2 linked regions of the Drosophila melanogaster genome follow. The protein of the gene in region 1 purifies or fractionates together with the protein of each later gene. This does not show direct contact. Each region holds a gene or a part of one and is shown on either strand. Other genes may lie near its edges. The genes, in order: IntS6 and IntS1.

What was found.
Region 2: the proteins of IntS6 (region 1) and IntS1 purify together in Drosophila melanogaster (affinity purification with mass spectrometry; 2 studies listed by BioGRID, with this or other methods). This does not show direct contact.

What each region holds. Positions count from the first base shown.
Region 1 is NC_004354.4:5,745,390-5,749,309, forward strand, and holds the start of IntS6 (integrator 6), read right to left. Parts: upstream 1,866-3,920; 5' UTR 1,383-1,865; intron 987-1,382; exon of another isoform or gene 814-986; intron 1-813. Other genes in the region: Rtel1 (regulator of telomere elongation helicase 1), read left to right, coding at 2,480-3,529, 3,605-3,920. UniProt on the Drosophila melanogaster protein: Component of the integrator complex, a multiprotein complex that terminates RNA polymerase II (Pol II) transcription in the promoter-proximal region of genes.
Region 2 is NT_033778.4:24,036,083-24,040,002, reverse strand, and holds the start of IntS1 (integrator 1), read right to left. Parts: upstream 2,061-3,920; 5' UTR 1,942-2,060; coding exon 624-1,941; intron 563-623; coding exon 1-562. Other genes in the region: Not11 (CCR4-NOT transcription complex subunit 11), read left to right, coding at 2,363-2,608, 2,663-2,802, 2,863-3,220; MAN1, read right to left, coding at 3,353-3,920. UniProt on the Drosophila melanogaster protein: Component of the integrator complex, a multiprotein complex that terminates RNA polymerase II (Pol II) transcription in the promoter-proximal region of genes.

The sequences.
Region 1 (3,920 bases):
AAATGGTTCTCTATTTTCTATCTGAAGTGTACCATTACACAAATTAGTGTTTAGTTTCGATATCCTTACACTTTGTTATATTGCGTGATATTCGCTGCCCCTATTAACAAAGTAGATTACTGCTCCCACCATCTCGAGTTGAGGTAAAAGGTAACCGTAAATCGATTACACAATGACCAAGCTCACGATCGTGAGTGTGTGTGCGAGGGAGCACGACCTACGCATCTCTGATGGAGAGCGAGGGAGATGGCCTGCCGAAGAAGGGGCGATGGAGGAGAAAAATGAGAAAGGGGGTTGGGATGTGGTGGATGCCGATGCCAGGGGGAGGAGAAGGAGGAATGCGATTAACCAAAGCCGGGATAACGATAACGATCACTCGGCGATCGCAGGCGTAACCCACATCCTTACACCTTAAATTAGGTCAGCCAGTCTAAATGTGTTTTTACCGGAGGAGCCGTAATTGTCTTGAATTCGAGTGCAAAACATTCAATTTCTATTTGAATAAGAGCGCAAACACATACGCACACTCGCGCACATGGACATGCACACACACATTCGCACACACGCGGCTCGGTGTAGTTGCCAGATACCCCCACTTCGGACAGGTATAACGTTGAGCGGAAATTAAAATATATCTATTAAGTTTCACAAATTTTGTCTTAAGTAAAAACAACACAAAATTCGTATTAAACGAGCGGTGTGTGATTTATCGTTGATCTGGCAACCCTGCTCCGACGTGTTGGAATGGTACGGGTGGCTGCGGGGGACGAGTCGGCCTATTGTGTTTGATGGCAATCCACAAAGCTCACACACACGTTTAAACCAAAACGATATAGGGCCGAGCACTTCAAGTAATCGAGTTTTTTCCGTCTAATTAATCTCGGCGCAGCGATGTTTTGGCCAACAAAATGACACGGCTCTTTGTCGGAATTCACTTATGCAGCAGCGGCAGGGTTGTCAGAGCTCGAAAAACGGTGAAGAAATAAACACACTTTTTCTAGTTGTTTCGCATAAATGGGGGGCGGCAAAGGGGTGCAGGGCCTTTGATTGGTGGTCATTTTTCATTTGGATGACCTTAATTTGCATGTGATAATGCTGATTAGTGCAGCCGCGTTATCGGCACGGTAATCGTTATCGCCAGAGTTGCAAGCGCCCGCCCATCGACAGCCCGCCAAAGCTTTCGAATTTGAAAATGTGTGGACATATTTTAAAAGTGCGATTCTAAGGATCGCATGGTTAATATTTTAGATCTAAATTTTCTATCTCAAAAAAAAAAAAAATGGTACAACATTCATACACAACTACACCGGCAGCATCTTCGAGTGAGAGTTTCCGGCCAAAAAAAAAAAAAAAAAGAATAACTAAAACAAAAACGCACTCACAAGAAGAGGAATGTTTCTCCTCCACCCAATACTCGCAATAATTTTCGATTAGCTTCTATATGCCGCGCCACGATTTTTTATTCTGTTATATTTTTACTTTGTGCCAACAGAAATTTATCACCACCGCGCGAGAGAGCGAGAACACACACGCACACACACAGCCAGAGTGCGCTCTCTTTCGCTCTGCCGCCGAGGTGCATAGGCGAGAACGACCGACAGACGCGACTAGCGGTCGGACCGACCGACCGAACGACCGTCGCTATCGCCGTCCCCCTCTCGCTCGTAGGTTTGTATCGGGGAGTTGTTGCTTACACGCACTCGCACACATACTTTTGCACACTGGCGCCTCGTCACTGTTGTTGCATTGCTGTCGTCCACTCCTGCGCTTCTTCTTCTCTTGTTCGACTCGCTTCTCTTCGGATTTTACTTTGCTGCCGAGCAATAACAACACAACACTACCGTTCTCAAAGTTCGAATGATTTGATGCCGTTCTGTGTTTTTTTGGTGTGGCCGAGAAGCGCCAAATCAGTGGGGCCGTATCGCGGCGATTCGGAAAAGCCGAGCGAAGGGGTCACGATAAATGGATTTGTGGTTGAATTAACTGAGTTTGTAATAATTGATGTCAAATATTTACTTACCTTGTTAGGGGATTTATATGTATGCTGCACATTTAATCTTGAATGCCATTAGTTCATTAGTTTGGTATAATCCATAACATTCACTTAAAATGTTATATCGTTAATCTTTGATCCAAATAAACAGAATCACAACTACAGTATTCCCTCCAATGCTAATAAGTTTATAAGTTTCAGTTACTATTATCCATAAGGTACCATAAACACGATTGCAGCACTTTGGGTGGTGATTAGTACTACTATTACGTTTAAAATAAACTACGCAGGGTTTGACATGCAAGTTGTAAACATTTGACTCGGAGTTCAAGATAACGCTATAAAATTACTTAATCAGGGTCCACTGTACTCTATCGATAGCGATAACTGACCACCTACACAGACATTTATTGTTATCGACCAACGAACACATGTTCACTCCGATTTGGCGCGTAAACAAGTAAATAAATAGTATTATTAAGAATAATGCCGGAGAGCCTGATCGCCGGCATTCCGGTGCACTTTCCGTTCGAGCCGTACCCGGTTCAACGGGCGTACATGGAGAAGGTGATCCATTGTCTCCGCGATGGCACGAATGGAGTCCTGGAATCGCCAACCGGCACGGGCAAGACCCTAAGCTTGCTGTGCTCATCCTTGGCCTGGATCCGCACCAGGCAATCGGAGCACCAAAAGCAGATGGTTAAGATGGAGAAGGCAGATTTTTCGGGTCTTGGAGGCGGAGCACCTGGGGGAGACCTGTCCGAGCTGGCCAAGACCATGGGTCGTGCGAATAACTGGGGCGTGCCCAAGGTCATCTACGCCTCGCGCACCCACTCCCAATTGACGCAGGCGATGCGGGAACTCAAGAGGACAGCGTACGCTAACATGAGATCCGTGGTTCTGGGCTCCCGCGATCAGCTATGCATTCATCCGGAGGTCATGCGGGAGCAGGGCAACTCCAACAAGACCAACATGTGCAAGCTACGGGTGCACTCCAAGACCTGTTCATTTCAAATGCGCGTTGAGTCGCGAAAGGATCATCCCGATTTGCGCGGACCCACCATCATGGACATTGAGGACCTGGTCAAGGTGGGCCAGCGACTCAAGATCTGTCCCTACTTCGCGTCTCGGGAGTTGGTTCCCCAGGCGGATATCACCTTCATGCCCTACAATTATCTACTCGATCCCAAGGCTCGCAAGGCCAACAAAATCGAACTGGGCAACACTATTGTGATCCTGGATGAGGCCCACAACATCGAGAAGATCTGCGAGGAGTCCGCTTCGGTGCAGATTAAGTCCTCTGATGTGGCCATGGCCATCGAGGACGTCACGCATATCATGCAAGTCTTTGCGAGCGGCGAGTCGCAGGATATGGCTGGAGATGAGCCAAAGGACTTCACACTGGACGACCTTACACTGCTCAAGGAGATGCTGCTCGAGCTCGAAAAGGCCATCGATGCCATCGTTGTGGACAACGCCGTCGATGGAACTACCTTTCCCGCCTCCATGATGTACGAACTGCTTGGCAAGGCGAATGTAAGATGCACTAAATCTTATCGGAAATGTTTTTAAAAGAATGCCTATTTAAAAATGTAACTTCCTTTATTGTAGTTCACCTACGGCAACGTTGCAACGATAGTATCCCTGCTGGACAAACTGGTGCAATACCTCCTAGTGGCCTCCCAGCAGATGAGCATCCGCAAGGGCGGCACCTTCACGTTGCTTAGCGATCTACTGACCATTGTGTTTGCCAACAAGGAGGATGTGATGAGCAAGGTGTACGCAAGCTTCAAAGTGCATGTCCTGGTGGAGGAGTCCAAGCAGGGACACGGTAAGCAGCAGGGTGCTAAACAGCAGGGCGGTTGGCTTGGCAAGGGAACGATTGCAGCAGCGACTGGCTTAAGCAAGGTCGCAAAAATCATTAACT
Region 2 (3,920 bases), on another chromosome or scaffold:
GGCGTCTCAGAGATAATCCGCAGGATTGCTCCTCGCTCCGGCTCTGACGGCCACTGATCGCAGCGCGAATACTGCTCCGGACTGTCCAGCAGTAGCAGCTTGTGCAGCGCCTGGTGGTACTCCGCAGCCGGAATCTTGAAGAGCGTGGGTACTGTTTCGTACATCCAGGACACTGTGTCCAACTGAATCTGTGACATCTGATTGTACAGCTTGAGCAGAGCATGGTTGTTTTTGGTGTCCCGATTGGTTTTCAGGGACAAACTGGCTTCCCTAGCTTGTGGCGTGGCCGACAGAAACATGCAGAGACACACAATGTCCACCATGGAGTTGAAAATTCGCTCCTTAAACTCGAACATTTCGATTTGAGGAGTCAGATCCTCCCGCTCACTGAGAAACGTCTTGCAAAACTTGACCAGGTTCACATCGAAGCGCAGCATCCGCACAAGCTCCCGTAAGAAAACGCGCAGGGTGCGCAGGCAATCGTCCCGCTGAAGCAAGAATTCCTGGTAAATCTCAGCCAGAGTGGCAGCTGATTGATCAGCAGATGTTTGAAACATTGTGGCTGGAAAAGTTTCAAATTAAGAATTATGATTTTAATTTAAGAAAAAATTTGTTTCTCTTACCCAGCATCCCCATATTGTTTGGATTCCTGGTGTTGGATAGCTCATTTTGCACGACCAGTTTCATTACGGTACTCAAGATTTCCGGCTGCAGAAAAATCATCTCCTTCAAGCAGGACATGTAGTGGTTTATTAGGGGCTTCGTCTTGAGCCGCATCTTCACCAGCACCAAGAGCACTTCGTTGTCCTGTGTGTTGCGTCCCTTGATGTTGAAGCAGATGTACGAGAGCAATTGCTGGGCGAACTTGACCAGTTTTCCGTTGTGGATCCACAGCTCCAGGCGGGAAATGCTCAGACATCGTACCTCTGCAATGCCAGAAGTGGTGCACAGGAACTTTAGGAAGTTTCTGGTGTAGTTATCCTGCTGCTGTCGCTTGTTGAGCTGATCGCGAATGGCATCGCTGACATGCTTCTGCACCACAGCATCGCTGAATCTTGATTTAGTGGTGCACATAGCGTCGGGAATTGGTTCCGATTCGGTATTTAAGGGACTTGCATCCAAGCTCTGTGTGGAATTGTCCCCGGAATCGTCGTCCACAGTCATGCTGTCTCTGTGTGCTTGACCAGAAGGCAGGGACGAGCTCACATCCCAGCGGAGGAGACTGATGTGGGGCGTGCGGGTTTTAAAGGCTGCGCATATGTTCTTCACGAGCGGGGCACACAGTTCATTGTCCGCCCAGTAGCGCTCGTTAACCGCATCGTCTATGTAAATGCGGAGCAGCACCTCCGGCCACTGGGAAATCTCCATGAAGCCCCGGGTCAGCAGATTGGCGAACAGAATGTGCAGGTTGGTGTTGTACCTCATTTTCACGTTGGCCTCCCGCCGCAGGAAGGAAAGCAGCGCGCAGGCCACTATGTCTGTGCAGAATATACTCGGCTGTACCTTGGCCACGTAGATCAGGGCCAGAAGGGCAATGTTGTCCACCTTGGAGCGCGAGGAGCTCGTCGTTGTCTGCTTTATAACGCCGCATACAAGCCGGCCCACAGTTTCGCTGTCGTTCTGCTCCAAAGCCGCGTATATGGTCTCGACCACGGTATCCAGATCGCAGTCAACGGCGAATTGCTCCCACGTCTCGCACTGACTACTACCGGAGGACATGTCCGGGGCGCCCGCGTCCTTCAGGTTGCCGCGGAACCGCTTGCTCGAGCTGGCCAGTGCGGTGGAGGCTTCACGCTTGCGGTCCGACGACGACATGCCCTTAATGGGCAGGATCTTCGACTTGGAGTCATCGCGTACGCTCTTGCCGAGCGCAAAGAGTTCTCCGCCCAGCGGAACCTTCTTCTGCGATCGGTTGGAGCCGCTTCCTTTCCCGCGATCCATTTTTCTCTGTTCGTGTGTGAAGGTTTTTTCTGTCCATAAAATGGATAATTCAAGCGCGGTGCATTTTATTTTGCTTTGCGATTTGCAGCCGTGCAACAGTTGCAGTGTGACCAGAGTGCAGGCGCTAGGGCTCAATGGCTAACGCATGCAGAAGTCTGTGCAACTGCTCTGATTCGGAACGATGGAAGCTTTGAAACAGGCTTTAATATAAATATTGAACTGTTTTCATATTTTAATTTTTATTTTTTGACAAGTGTGTAACCTAACACCCTTAGGCGCACATTTGCATACATCATTTTTCAGATGGCCCACTCTCATGTGCAGATTGTTCTTAAGAACCCCTCAACGCGGTCACACTAAAATTGTTTACAAAATTGCAAGGAAAATAATAATAATTGTAAATTAAAATCAGCGCACCAGCATGTTTCTGTCCATCGCCCCGCCCCTAATGGACTTCGAGGACGAGCTGCTCTGGATAAACCAGTCGAACAGCGACAAGGTGGAGATCATCTACGACAAGTCCAACTACATTACCCCCAACATAAAGCACCTCATCGAGCAGGCTTTTCTCCAGCCACTCAGCCTCCAGAACCAGCACATCCTCTTCGACGACCTGCTGAAGCAGAACACGGACATTGCGCGCCAATATGGACTGACCCCGGACAAGGTAAGAACCGAAAACATTGCTAGATATATGTCTTATCCATTGCTTCCATCTCAGCTACCTCTGCTCGTGGAAAGCAATCCTCTCATCTCCATTGAGATCTTGCTAAGACTGATGACGACCTCCGACATAACTGAATACTTCAACGTGTTGGTCAACATGGACATAACACTTCACTCCATGGAGGTGGTCAACCGGTAGGAATCCAAACATCGAGTATTGAAGGCTTCTTTAACATGCTCGAGCTCTCATTCCAGACTAACCACCTCCGGACCTTTGCCCACTGAGTTTATTCACCTATACATCAGCAATTGCATCTCGACTTGCGAAACAGTCAAGGACAAGTACATGCAGTCTCGCCTGGTGCGACTCGTTTGCGTATTTCTGCAGTCCTTGATTAGGAACAAGATTGTGAACGTTAGGGTATGCGCTACTACCATTTCCTCGACTGTGCTTAGTGACTATTCTATTGTTATTTTCCAGGAACTATTCATTGAAATCGAAGCCTTCTGCGTGGGTTTCAGCAAAATCAAGGAGGCTGCTACCCTGTACCGGCTTATCAAACACTTGGAAACTGGGGAAAGCGCTCTGTCGTCCAACTCCCTAGCTAAGTAGTGGTAGTGTTTAGCAGATTTTAAGTTTTAAAGTCTAGTTCATAATAAATCGATTAAATACGACAACTCCAGCTGTACATGTAAAACAAATTCGCATTTAATAACTTAAGTATCTAATGTAGAGTTGTGTGTTTTATGAGTGAGTGTTGGCTGCCTCGTTGGTGTGAAAGTAAAGTGGCTCGGCCGAGGGCTTGGGGAAACGGCTCAGGTAGCGTTCCAGTCTTAAGAATTTAATCGAAATCAGGCGCTTGTCGAACCACCAGCCGTTGATCTCTTTGTGAATCGTGCCGGCGTCCTCCTCGCTGGCGCAGCGGATGTACACGCAGCAGGACTGCACGTCCAGCTGGACATCGCAGATCTTGCAGCGCGTGCCGACCTTCTCGATGATCGACTCCACGATGGACTGCTTCAGATTGGCCTGATCCACCTCTGAGGAGTCGAACATGTGCCTAATCTTCAGGCAGGGAGTCGGCGGGTTGGCAATCTTGTTCGAGTTATCGAAGGCGGGACTCTGCCACTTCTTAACAAGCCCCACATCCTTTTTGTCAACGTTCCTGTTCCACGCAATTGTGCGCATTGCCTTCCCGTCACGATTCACCATTCCGAACAGCACACGGCTATCGTTTTTCTCCAGCTGCTTGAGGGCCTTGTTCCAAGAAGACAAGAGCTTTGAGCGCTTCTTGGCCGGCAGAAACTTCTCC